3 linked regions of the Macaca fascicularis genome follow. Each later gene encodes a partner of the first gene's protein in a complex. Links are inferred from orthologs where the notes say so. Each region holds a gene or a part of one and is shown in the gene's direction. Other genes may lie near its edges.

Evidence for each region. The genes of interacting proteins can lie anywhere in the genome.
Region 2: TAF12 (region 1) and TAF11 share a complex: the UniProt entries of both Homo sapiens proteins name them as parts of the TFIID basal transcription factor complex. The link is inferred for Macaca fascicularis from reciprocal best matches to the Homo sapiens genes TAF12 and TAF11.
Region 3: TAF12 (region 1) and TAF7 share a complex: the UniProt entries of both Homo sapiens proteins name them as parts of the TFIID basal transcription factor complex. The link is inferred for Macaca fascicularis from reciprocal best matches to the Homo sapiens genes TAF12 and TAF7.

Annotation. Positions count from the first base shown.
Region 1 is NC_088375.1:206,387,845-206,392,211, forward strand, and holds the start of TAF12 (transcription initiation factor TFIID subunit 12), read left to right. Parts: upstream 1-1,425; 5' UTR 1,426-1,608; exon of another isoform or gene 1,609-1,873; intron 1,874-4,367. UniProt on the Homo sapiens protein: The TFIID basal transcription factor complex plays a major role in the initiation of RNA polymerase II (Pol II)-dependent transcription.
Region 2 is NC_088378.1:136,804,976-136,809,649, forward strand, and holds the start of TAF11 (transcription initiation factor TFIID subunit 11), read left to right. Parts: upstream 1-1,814; 5' UTR 1,815-1,899; coding exon 1,900-2,070; intron 2,071-4,674. Other genes in the region: ANKS1A (ankyrin repeat and SAM domain-containing protein 1A), read right to left, coding at 261-448. UniProt on the Homo sapiens protein: The TFIID basal transcription factor complex plays a major role in the initiation of RNA polymerase II (Pol II)-dependent transcription.
Region 3 is NC_088380.1:147,784,501-147,789,120, reverse strand, and holds TAF7 (transcription initiation factor TFIID subunit 7), read left to right. Parts: upstream 1-1,773; 5' UTR 1,774-2,504; coding exon 2,505-3,554; 3' UTR 3,555-4,060; downstream 4,061-4,620. UniProt on the Homo sapiens protein: The TFIID basal transcription factor complex plays a major role in the initiation of RNA polymerase II (Pol II)-dependent transcription.

The DNA of each region.
Region 1 (4,367 bases):
TTCTGCTGGCAGATACTGTGGCTCACACTGGCCTGTCACAGCTTTTTTTTTTTTTTGAGATGGAGTCTCGCTCTGTAGCCCAGGCTGGAGTGCAGTGGCCGGATCTCAGCTCACTGCAAGCTCCGCCTCCCGGGTTTATGCCATTCTCCTGCCTCAGCCTCCCGAGTAGCTGGGATTACAGGCGCCCACCACCTCGCCCGGCTAGTTTTTTTATGTATTTTTAGTAGAGACGGGGTTTCACCGTGTTCGCCAGGATGGTCTCAATCTCCTGACCTTGTGATCCGCCCGTCTCGGCCTCCCAAAGTGCTGGGATTACAGGCTTGAGCCACCGCGCCCGGCCCACAGCTCTTTATACATTTTTTGGTGTGTTTGTGGGTTCTTCTCCATTTTACTGTGAACCTTACAGATGCTGGAACTGGGTCTGACTTGCATACCTAACATTCCAGCATACAGTAAAAAATAACAGTTCTCTCTTTTTTTTTTTGAGACAGAGTCTCGCTCTGTCACCCAGGCCGGAGTGCAGTGGCGCGATCTCGGCTCACTGCAACCTCCGCCCCTCCAGGTTTAAGCAGTTCTCTGCTTCAGCCTCCGGAGTAGCGATTACAGACGCGTGCCACCACGCCCGGCTAATTGTTTTGTATTTTTAGTAGAGACGGGGTTTCACCATCTTGGCAAGGCTGGTCTTGAACTCCTGACCTCGTGATCCACCCGCCTCGGCCTCCCAAAGTGCTGGGATCACAGGCGTGAGCCACATAAAAGCAATTCTCACCAAGCATTTGACAGCAAAAAACTGTCCTGTAGAGAATGCTACAGGATAGGCTTTGGCTTAGTAGTGAGGTCTGAGTTCAAGCTGAGGCTCTGCACTTATTAGCTAGAATTTTGCTTAATCTCTCACAGGTCTCCTCTAACTGATTAAATGGCGTAACGGAGGTAAGCCGATTAGCACAATTCCTGGCAAACAGTCAGCAGTCAATTGTTATTACTGAATTGCCAGTTCACAGGCACAACCAACCGATCTGTCTCATCTCCCGGTTCCTGTGTTGCCAACTTCCTCGTTGAGGTTCAACAGGATACCTGTGGGGTAATGTGTCCCAGATGATATCCTGGTCCTGACACCATGACAAAGGCACCAACCAAAAATGGCGACCTCAAAGCCATCCGAGGGCGTCAATTACCCGTCATGCTACCGATGGATAAATAAGCAGAGTCGGGAAGAAAAGCTAGTGAAGGATTCTTAACGCCGGGGTGGAATACGCAGAGCTCGCTCATGCTGCCACTCAACTACAAGCAGTTAAAAGCGCAAGCTGCAGGCTACAGCTACACACAGCTCAAGATCGCCACCACGTGTCGGAGGGCAGTCTGCGCCTGCGCAAGCGAGGCGCGCGCCCGCCGGCCGGAAGAGCCGCGCGTTTCCGGGTTGGAGGCGGGGAGCGGTGCCGGAAGTAGTCGGGGAGGGCCGCGCAGTCGGACCGGCTGCTGAGACGAACGCTTCTCTGGGGCAGTCTCCGCATATCATGGGGAGATAGACGCTGCTGCCTGTGAGTCTTGGGCCCTGGCAGTTGAGGAACAAGAGCGGGAGGAGGGAGTCAGGACCCAGATCTACAGTAGGTCAGTGTTCGAAGGACCAGGTTGTGGACGAGACGGGGCTGTGAGGATTCAGGCTCTTGGGAAGGGACTGACAGAGGATCAGGCTCGGAGAAGACGCGGCTGTGGGGACCTGGGCTCCAAGACGGGACTTAGGGAACGGGGACGGATCTGAGTTCTCCGGCATCTGAGGGAAAGTGGTCTGAGAGGAGCAGGATTATGAGGACCCGCACTCCTACGAGGAGAGGGTCGGAAAGGAACGGGGTGTGAAGACACGGGCTCCGGAGAGGTAAAAGTGGAGCGGTGAGGACTTGGGCTTCTAAGAGGCAGAAGCGGGACAGTGAAGACCCGGCCTCCTAAGGATTCAGAAACGGGGCAGCGAAGACTCAGGTTCCTGAGGGGCAGAAGCAGACAGAGAAAACTTGAGTTTGGAAGGGAACAGAAGCGGGCAGTGAAGACTGGGGCTTCTTTGGGGACGGGATCCGGGCTTTGAGACTCCGAGTACCTGAGTCTCAGAACAGGGCGGTGAGGACCCAAGCTCCTAAAAGCCTTGGATCTAAGGGACCATGGATGTGAGATCAGCCTAGAAAGTAAAGGGAAAGGGTTTGGAAAATATTTAGTGATCCATTTTTTTTTCCACAGTATTCCCTGAACCCAGAGAGATAAAGGACGTATTCAGGGGAAGACAACTTCTCCTTCGCACTGCCTGCTTGGCTCTTGGCAGGCTTTTCTTGTGTTAGATACTCAATCTAGGAAGCCCACATGCAAACATCTTCATTTTCTGCTTCATTCTTGGGAATCAGATGTGAAGTTGAAAACAGTTGGAACTCAGTTATATACTTGATAAGTGCTTTAAATCCCATTCCACTCAACCCTGAATGAGCACAGATCTCTGCATCTCAAGTAAAAGAATGTCAGTGATGGAAGAGTCCCAAAAGATCATCTTTTAAAAACTCCTATTTTACATTTAAGGAGGCTAAGGTTCAAAGAGGTTTAGGATTACAGTGAGGCAATGGTTAGATCATAATTTTAATACAGTACCCTTCTGTGCGTAGCAAATGAGATGCTTGGTTAATGTTCCTTAAATGCTTCCAGAATCTTTGCTTTATCTTCAAACTCAGGAGGGAATTTTTTTTTTTTTTTTTTTTTTTTTTTTTTTTTTTTTTGAGACAGGTTCTCTCTCTGTTGCCCAGGCTGAAGTGCAGTGGCTCAATCTTGGCACCATGCACGTCAACCTCCTAGGCTCAAGCAATCTTCCCACCTATATATACCTCCTGAGTAGCTGGAACTACAGGCATGTGCCTCCACACCCTGCTAATTTTTAAATTTTTTGTAGAAACAGGATCTCACTATGTTGCCCAGGCTGGTCTCAAACTCCTAGGCTCAAGTGATCCTCCCACCTTGGTCTCCCAGAGTGCTGGGATTGCAGGCATGAGTCACTTCCCCCCGCTTCCAGTTTTCTTTTTTTGAGACAGAGTCACCCAGGCTGGCGTGCAGTGGCACGATCTCAGCTCACTGCAATCTCTGCTTCCCCGGTTCAAAAGATTCTCCTGCCTCAGCCTCTCAAGTAGCTGGAATTACAGGTGTGTGCTACAATGCCCAGCTAATTTTTGTATTTTTAGTAGAGACAGGGTTTTACCATGTTGGCCAGGCTGGTTTCGAACTCCTGACCTAAAGTGATCTGCCCACCTCAGCCTCCCGAAGTGCTGGGATTATAGACATGAGCCACCACGCCTGGCCCAGTTTTTATTTCCAGTAAAAACTGGAAATTTTTACAGTTTCTGATACTTTGAGTGTTATTACTGCATTGACATTGATACAGTAAATGTCACTTAATAGTAAGGAAACCTTTATTTTTATTTTTATATTTTTGAGACAGGGTCTTGTTTTGTTGCCCATATTGGAGTGCAGTGGCATCATCATAGCTCACTGCAACCTATATTCTTGAGCTCAAGCACTCCTCCTGCCTCAGCCTCCTGGGTAGCTGGGACTACAGGTATGAGCCACTACACCCAGCTAATTTTTAAGTTTTTTTGTAGAGACGGTGTTTGGCTGTGTTGCCTAGGCTGGTGTTGAATTCTTGTCCTCAAGTGATTCTCCCACCTTGATATCCCAGAATGTTGGGATTATAGGCATGAGCCACTGCACCTGGCTGGAACCTTTAAATAAAGCTCAGTGTTATTTATTTATTTATTTAATAAGCTGTTTGGAAAGCCATAAATAAGTGTGTCCTGCATTTTTAGTGCAAACATTTACTAGGGATGGCTGCTTTTGGATAAGAATGGTGGGGAGACTTGCACCAGTCACTTACTTCAATATTAATATCTTTTTCTGAAACCTACTCAGACTAACCAGGCACAGCTTAGGTACTTTTGAGTATTCTATGATTTAATTATCACAGCCCCACAAGTTAGATATTGTCAGTCTCGTTGTACAGATAATGAAATAGGTTTAGAGAGGTTAAATACTTTGCCTGGGCCGGGCGCGGTGGCTCAAGCCTGTAATCCCAGCACTTTGGGAGGCCGAGACGGGCAGATCACGAGGTCAGGAGATCGAGAGACGATCCCGGCTAACACGGTGAAACCCCGTCTCTACTAAAAAATACAAAAAAATAGCCGGGCGAGGTGGCGGGCGCCTGTAGTCCCAGCTACTGGGGAGGCTGAGGCAGGAGAATGGCGTAAACCCGGGAGGCGGAGCTTGCAGTGAGCTGAGATCCGGCCACTGCACTCCAGCCTGGGTGACAGAGCAAGACTCCGTCTCAAAAAAAAAAAAAATAATAAAAA
Region 2 (4,674 bases), on another chromosome or scaffold:
TGCGGCGGAGGCTGCCACCTGGGCACTCCCACCATTCTTCGCAGCCGGCTCAGAACGGGAGACCAGGCGAGCCCGGAGCAGCGTGGACTCGGACCCGCGCGCCCTCCGGTATCCTGGCCCGTGCGCCGCCTGCCTCGCCCCGGGCACGCCACAAGCCCACCCCGCCCGAGTCTCAGGACCCCCGATCTCTCTGGAGACCCAAGAGACGGGTGGGGGAGAAGGGGTCTGCAGGCAGCGGCCCGGCCCCGGCGCGTACCCACCTGAGCAGACTGGAGAGGGGGTGGCTGGAAGAGCCGAGGCCGCCGCCGCCGCCGCCCCCAGAGCCGCCGCCGCCGCCGCCGCCGCCGCCCCCAAAGCCAGAGGAGAGCCGCTTCCCGGACAGCAGCTTCTCCACCGCCGGGAGGTGCCCGGTGCGGGCCGCCTCCAGCAGCTCCTGCTCCTTCCCCATCCCCAGGGCCGCCACCCGCTGGACCCCCCTCCCCGGGGCTGCAGCCGAGCCTGCTCGGGCTCCCAAACTTTCCGTCTCCGGGCAACGCACCCCCCAAACCGGCTGGGGACACCACCCCCCCTCCCTGCCTTTTCTCCACGAGCGCGTCACTTCCGGGATCCGGCGTCACGCGTCACCGCGCCCCCGCGCCCCGCCCCCTAGCTCACCTAGCTGGGCGGGGCTCCGCGGACCAGCGCAGGTGGATTTTGCTGTGCCGAGACAGGCCTCACGGGTTATGGGGACAGCGCCTTGTGGGTCCCCATTATATAGGTGGAAAGGGACAAACAGGCCCACCTGTACGCGCCTCCCGAAGTGCGCTCCTTCCCTAAACGTTTTGGGAGCTCCTGGGACAGGAAATACGGCAATTCGTCCAGGCAGCGCAGAAACAAAGAGATAAATATGGTAACGCGCACCTACATTTCCAAGGACATTCTTTAAGCACGCATAAATTAAATATGTAATAGGTGCTGGGACCTAGTCATACCCAGGTGAATAAAACGCCCTCCCCCTCGTATCTCTATGAGGGAAGAGAAGAAAATTTTAAAATAGAAATATCCTCACCACTTCATCCTCCCAGTACATGAACTAGTTCGTTAAAGTGAAACGTTCGAAGGAGACACCTTCCTCTCTTTAGGCTTTCCTCTTAGTTTTGGTAAGATTAACCAAAATGATAGAAAAGTGTCAGACTTGTAGAAACAAACCTCAATCTTGAATACTTGCGAACTGAAAAAAAATCATTTAATTGGATAGAAACTATGTGTGTTTTGTTCCCTGGTACTAGCACTGTTTCTAAATCGAAGTACGCAGTCAATAGTTGTGGATGAATAAATGAATTGGATAAATTCTGCTCAAGCTAGATGACTTTTTGTTGTTAAGGTGCTTGCTGAATGGAGCGGAAATGCTAGCAATTCCACGTACACACAGACCCGCGGTTTCGGGCCAGTTGAAATACACAAGGTTGAGTCTTGCCTGAAAGTTTACCAATCCCGGGTAGCCTCATTCCACGACACCGCCATACAACGGAACTGAGTTTTCTCCCGATCCCCCAACTTTACTCTGAGGGGTTAACGAAGGGATTAACTGGTATTGAATTTTTAGACAGGCGAAAAGGAAAAAGTTATTTAGTAAACAAAACTGCGCTCCTTCACAAGTGCTGGTTTCCTAGCTAGGAGGATCCATAGTCTGAGCTCTTTACGTCCAATTTTCCCGCTTCCCACTGTCGCCAAACCAAAGTTAAAATGAGTCCTCTAGTCCTCTACGCGCGCCTCAAAATGACCCCTCAGGAGAGCGGTAGGGGTGATGTCATCGCTGCGCGACGACAGGAAGTAAGATACTGTCCTGTGCAGCTCGGGGTTCCGAGCTTCTGCCTCAGACATCGCCGCGATCTCCTCTCCCCTCCAATCCTATCCGTGATGGACGATGCCCGCGAGTCGCCCTCCGACAAAGGTGGAGAGACAGGGGAGTCGGATGAGACGGCCGCTGCGTCCGGGGACCCGGGGGCTACCGACACGGATGGAATCCCAGAGGAAACTGACGGAGACGCAGATGCGGACTTGAAAGAAGCTGCAGCGGAGGAAGGCGAGGTAGGAAGAGATGTATCGATGAGGCTGAAGGAATACCCAGAGATCGTGTTACTGGGTGCTTGCCGGGCTTCTGGTTAGTCCCTCCCAAGTTACGAGAACTCGAACTCACCAGAACTCCCTCCAGATCGTTAATCTTGAGGGGGAAGAGAGCGGACGACCAAACAGAACTCCAGTGCTGGTTCCGTTCCAGAGGCTCAAGCACTGCGTTAATATTTTTAGTCTTGTCAAGGGATTAAAGCTACTTCTAAGGGAGTTTTAATAGCCTATTGGCTTTAGTGGTGAGGAAACTGGGATCCAGTGTCACACTGAGACGCAGTGCAAGAGCTAAAACCCAGGATTCGTAGCACCCCTTTCACCGCAATATGGTTCGTCTTAGATGTTAAGACAACTTTGTTTCTTTATAGGAAGGAGGGTCGATCAAACCTGTCAAAGGGAGATAGACTTTTATAAAAGTGTCGCCCGGGCTGTAGTACAATGGCGCGATCTCTGGCTCACTGCAACCTCCGCCTCCCGGGTTCACGCGATTCTCTTGCTTCAGCCTCCCAAGTAGCTGGGATTACAGGCTCACACCACCATGCCCGGCTAATTTTTGTATTTTTATTAGAGACGGGGTTTTACCATGTTGGCCAGGCTGGTCTCGAACCCCTGACCTCGTGATCCGTCCGCCTCGGCCTCCCAAAGTGCTGGGATTACAGGTGTGAGCCACAGCACCCGGTGATCAGGGACCCATCAGTTGGGTCTGGTGTTTTTATGCTACAGAGAGTTCAGCAGTGTTGCCTAGCTGAACATTGGTCAGGACCAGAAACTCATCGTTCTCTGGATTACATTTCTGGAAGTAGAATCTTGGGGTCTTAGAGCTAGAAGGGATTTAAGAGATCGTGGGGTGAACAGTAGATTAGATGGAAATAGCCTTTCAGTGTATAAAGTTGCATAAAAATATATAAAGTAAGAACTTTTAGAAAAAGAGAAAATTTGGCCGGGTGCAGTGGCTCACGCCTGTAATCTTTGGGAGGCGGAGGTGGGTGGATCGCCTGAGGTCAGGAGATCCCCAATATGGGGAAACCCTGTCTCTACTAAAAATACAAAAATTAGCTGGGCATGGTGGCAGGCGCCTGTAATCCCGGCTACTTAGGAGGCTGAGGCACAAGAATCGCTTGAACCTGGGAGGCAGAGGTTGCAGTGAGCCGAGATCGCACCACTGCACACCAGCTTGGGTGCCAGAGTGAAACTCCGTCTCGAAAAAAAGAAAAAGAGAACATTTGACAAAAGTATTTTAAGGCAGGTTTCTTTTTTTGTTTTTGTTTTTGTTTTTGAGACTGAGTACTCGCTCTGTCACCCAGGCTGGAATGTGCAGTGGCGCGATCTCGGCTCACTGCAAGCTCCTTTAAGGCAGTTTTTGTTGGTTTGTTGAGACAAGGTCTCACTCTGTCACCCAGCCTGGAGTGCAGTGGCACAGTCTCTGCCTCCTGGGCTCAAGCAACCCTCTTATCTCAGCCTCCGCAGTAACTGGGATTGCAAGCATACTGCACCACGCTCAGCTGAAGTTTTTGTATTGTTTTGTTTTGTTTTGTTTCGTTTTTGAGACGGAGTCTCGCTCTGTTGCCCAGGCTGGAGTGCAATGGCGCAATCTCGGCCTACTGCAACCTCCGCCTCCCAGGCTCAAGTGATTCTCCTGCCTCAGCCTCCCCAGTAACTGGGATTACAGGCACGTGCCACTGTGCCCAGCTAATTTTTGTATTTTTAGTAGAGCCAAGGTTTCACCAAGTTGCGCAGGCTGGTCTTGAACTCCTGACGTCATGATCCATCTGCCTCAGCCTCCCAAAGTTCTGGGATTATAGGCATGAGCCACCGCACCTGGCCAGCTAAAGGTTTTTTAAATATTGTTTTGGTAGAGACAAGGTCTCATTATATTGCCCAGTCTGGTCTCCAACTCACTGGGCTGAAGTAATCCTTCCGCCTCAGCCTCCCAAAGTGCTAAGATTACAGGTGGGAGCCACCATGCCTGGCCAAGAAGGAAACTTTAAAACAGGTGTCAAGGACAGCAAGGATTTGAATAATTAGCTTGGTACACTAGAGAGCTCACTACATATATAAATTTGCACCGAACAGAGGATAAAATTATGTTGTTTCTGAAACACTTTTAAAAATCAATCATGTACTAGACCATGAAGAAAAATATGAATTCTTAAAAGTAGATATCATAACAGGCCACATCTTGTTAATGCAATGCATTAAACTTGAAATTAACTACAAAAAGCTTCTCCCCCACCAAAAAAGAACCCCCTGGAAATTTTAAACTATTTTTTAAATAGCCTTTAGACTAAAGAAATTAACAGAACACTTTATCAAATGATATGGGATTTGGCCAAAGCTTTATTTAAAGAAAAATGTATAGCCTTACATATTTTTATTAACAACCAGAAGATACTGCAAATAAGCACCTGACTCAAGAGACCAGATAAAGGGCCTAGTGGAGTAGGTCACACCTACAGACCTAGCTACCTGGCAGGCTGACACGGGAGGATCACTTGAGGCTGCAGTGAGCTATGATCCAGCCTGGGCAACAGAGTGAGTCTGGGGAAAAAACAAACAAACAAACAAACA
Region 3 (4,620 bases), on another chromosome or scaffold:
CAGCTAACATTCTTCAACACATTATAAGCAAAGAGAAATAATTTACAGTTATCTGGAAGGGCATACTTTCTCTTTTAAAATTAACATTAAGAACCAAACTAACCTCAGGTCATTTTAATTTCCTCCCACGACAGTATCTCATTCTAGCTAAACCACATTCACACACACTATTAGCAAACCTCCCCACCTCATAACAATTAGCATTGTCCCTGACTAGAGAGGAAATGTATGTAAAGTGGCTCTATCTCATTTTAAAGTGACAAAGAATGTATTTTCTCTCACAAATCACTACAGCATTTAAGACTATGATCTTTCTAGATAGATCAATTTTTTCATTCAATTAGCAAATATTTTTTGTGTATCTCCCATGTTCTGGTACTAGGCACTGGGACACAATGACCAGGATAGAAAAAGATCACTATCATGGAGCTTTCAATCATACAGGAATAAAGTGAATTTTGGAAATGTTAATTACATCTTAAGAGAATTCTCTTAAATTTAGGGGCAATTGGTAATATTTTAGAGGATAGAAATTAAATGTTAATGGCCTTGATGCTCTACCAGATATTTTAAAAATAAATGGAAATAAATAGAAATAAGTACCAACTGTTACCCAGTTATGTCAAAATACTAAAAATATGTGTTGATGAATACCTGACCCTCCAAAGAAAAGACAAGCACAAAACAGCAAAATAGTAGAGGTGGAGTTAAAAAAAAAGTCAAAGTATTTAAAATTACTTGTACATGAGAAGCAGGAAACAATACTTCAATTATGTCTACTTTAACCAGATGCTCAGTCTATCAGACAATTCTGTCCAAAATGAACCTGTGCTTGCAGAAGAACACTTCCTTCTCTGCTTACATTTACATCTAAATCAAGCATATAAAAAGGAATCACCCTTGTTTCCTCAGGAGTATTACAGAACAGAAGGAAACCCAGAGGCACAATTCCCCTACAGGGAATTATATTAAACAAAATATAGACTTTGGGCCAGGCACGGTGGCTCACACCTATAATCCCAGTACTTTGGGAGGCCAAGACAGGCAAATCACCTCAGGTCAGGAGTTGGAGACCAGCCTGGCCAACATGGTGAAACCCCTTCTCTACTAAAAATACCAAACTTAGCTGGGGTAGTGGAAGGTGCCTGTAATCCCAGCTACTCAAGAGGCTGAGGCAGGAGAATCGCTTGAACCCTGGAGGTGCAGATTGCAGTGAGCCAATATTGTGCCACTACACTCAAGCCTGGGTGACAGCCTAGACTCCATTTCCAAAACAAACAAACAAACAAACAAAGAGAGGTTTAGAATTATATAGTGAGCTCCATGTCCTCCTCACTCCACTGATTTGGGTTCTTTAAAATCCATTGTATAGTAGCTACACATTCTTGTATTGGCACCAGATTGGCTAGACCCTAGGAAGCATCCGAGATGTTTCCAGAAGCAAAGACGCTTACTGCCAGGCGTCCCCCATCTCCCGGAATCACCCGGAAGTCTAGAAGCCATCCGGCCCCACAGCGATCCCTTAAAAGTGCTGGCTTAGCGGGGGACGAATCCGTGTCTTTCTTGTAACTTCCAAGCGCTAAATAGTTTGAAACCAACAGCTCTTCGAAAACACTATCATTTTCATCCTAGAAAAGCAAGTTCTCGCGAAAAGACGAGTTTCACGCTGGGCAGCGTAATTGCGCTATTGCGCCTGCGCGCGCCGGGGCTCCGCCCTTCCGGCCGGAGGGGCTGTCACTCACATCCACCTCCCGCCCCGCGTCGTGACGTAGCACTTCCGTTTTCTCTGGGCAAGCGGTCGAACGGAGGGCCGGCGAGGTGCCGGGTCTGGTTCTCCGAGCTGCGCCTCTCGGCAAGATTTCGCGTTGCCCATCCTGGGCTTTCATCAGTAATCGATAGTGGATCACTCTGCCAAGCGGCAGGAAGAATTAAGGAAACGACAAGGAGACGCTTGGCTGCCTCCCGCTTTGCTCCTTGCGGCCTCCTCTTCCCTTCGCTCCGGCCCGGTGAAACTGAACTTATAATCGTCACTGGATTGTAAGTACCCGAGGCGAAGAGAGCTCACTGAGCCCTGATGTTTTGAGTGTCTGTTCCGGGAGAGTTTGTAAATTGAGAGTATCTCTGCTGGCCTTTCTGGGCCGAAAACCGTTCCGCGGGAGCCGCCATTTGCTTTCCTGCTTCCTAGCTAGGTAGCTGTCTCCGCGTTGTCGGGCAGCGGCACCTAGAGGTTGGGACTTGGCATTGCATCTGATTTAATGAACTTAAGTCTGTGAATAAGCCTTTGTGTTAACGACTGGTATTTGGTCACAGCATATTTAGAGAAAAGACTTGGAGCTTAAATAAAAACGAAGGCAAAATAGACGCTAAGCTGCTGATCTACAGAGAACTTCTTGTAATTAAAATATTTCAATTCATAGCGAACTGGTGTTTTAAATTATTGCAGTAGCTGGAACTTTTTACGGTAACCATCATTTATTGGAGAAGTGAGTCACAAAGAAATAAAAATGAGTAAAAGCAAAGATGATGCTCCTCACGAACTGGAGAGCCAGTTTATCTTACGTCTGCCTCCAGAATATGCCTCTACTGTGAGAAGAGCAGTACAGTCTGGTCATGTCAACCTCAAGGACAGACTGACAATTGAGTTACATCCTGATGGGCGTCATGGAATCGTCAGAGTGGACCGTGTTCCATTGGCCTCAAAATTGGTAGACCTGCCCTGTGTTATGGAAAGCTTGAAAACCATTGATAAGAAAACCTTTTACAAGACAGCTGATATCTGTCAGATGCTTGTATCCACAGTTGATGGTGATCTCTATCCACCTGTGGAGGAGCCAGTTGCTAGCACTGATCCTAAAGCAAGCAAGAAAAAGGATAAGGACAAAGAGAAAAAGTTTATCTGGAACCACGGAATTACTCTGCCTCTGAAGAATGTCAGGAAGAGAAGGTTCCGGAAGACAGCAAAGAAGAAATATATTGAATCTCCAGATGTGGAAAAAGAAGTGAAACGATTGCTGAGTACAGATGCTGAAGCTGTTAGTACTCGGTGGGAAATAATTGCTGAAGATGAAACAAAGGAGGCAGAAAATCAAGGCCTGGATATCTCTTCTCCAGGAATGTCTGGTCACAGGCAGGGCCATGACTCATTAGAACATGATGAGCTTCGGGAGATATTCAATGACCTCAGCAGCAGCAGTGAGGATGAAGATGAGACCCAGCATCAAGATGAAGAAGATATAAACATCATTGACACTGAGGAAGATCTGGAGAGACAACTACAGGACAAGCTAAATGAATCAGATGAACAGCACCAGGAAAATGAGGGAACCAATCAGCTGGTTATGGGAATTCAGAAGCAGATTGACAACATGAAAGGCAAGCTCCAAGAGACCCAGGACAGGGCAAAACGACAAGAGGATCTCATCATGAAAGTGGAAAATCTGGCTCTCAAGAACAGATTTCAGGCTGTACTGGATGAGCTCAAACAAAAGGAAGACCGAGAAAAGGAGCAACTCAGCTCTTTGCAAGAAGAGCTAGAATCACTCCTAGAGAAGTAAAAAGAACTGATTCTTAATTTCAGTGTTCAGACTGATCAGCATTAGAAAATTCTTGGCTTTATTACTTGTACTGGATATTAACACCTTGCACTTCCTAGTCCCTCTAATGCTGTGTGTTCTGTTAAGTTCTTTCATTTGTTTATAGTTTTGTTTTTCAGCAAATTTACATTGTTTTGCTAGGTGTTCATCCTATAAGAAGCAGGATTGTATAGGCAGAAAAATGATAGTAGGAAAGTTGCAGGATTAGTGGAATGTATGGTTCAACCTTAATTATAGCTCCACTGCAGGACTTTGCTGTTTCTCCATTTTCTAGAAGCTGCTGTTGCTGCCTTATGATGACATGAGATCAATAAGAAGAACCTAGTCTAGAGACAGTGATGCTAGTTTGCATATGTTTTCCCATGCAATAGCTGTTTTCCCAGTTACTCAAAGCAGTTTCCCATATGTAGAGATGCAAATTTTATTAAGTTGTTTACAATACAATAAATAAAAGCATCTGTTTTTCACTTTGTAGTGTATCTTGTTCTTTCATGGTTGGTGGGAGTCAGGTCCCTTTTGAGGTGGTTTTGTGGTGGAGTTTAGTGACTAAGAAATTTGATCCAGTTCTGCAGGTAGAGGCAGTTTGGTTTATGAAAAAAAGCAACACAGCAGGGGTAAAGAAATTGGGAATTGTCATGTTTGCATCATATTAAGATTCCAGTTCTATCTGATCTACTTGAAAGCTGGGAAACATTAGATACAGAGCTTTCTTAAACTACCCTAATTTTTGTAGATGAAGGCCTTCGTGCCTTTTTTAAAAAGCTTACTAAATCTACCTGCACAAAATGTTGGAAACAAAGCAGTGGTTATCAAGTGCAGTCCAATGAATCATTCCATTGGTTTGGATTAAGATTTTATTTCTATTTTTCTTCAGTTGAGTTCTTATAATTAATAATCTGAGAACTGAGGTCATTTATCAATGTCATTTCATCAAAATTGCTCATAAAGTAAGTCGGTACCAAATTTCTCATGCTTTAAAGATAATCTAATGCCTCACAACATGAGCTATTTTTGAAAAATCAGTTAC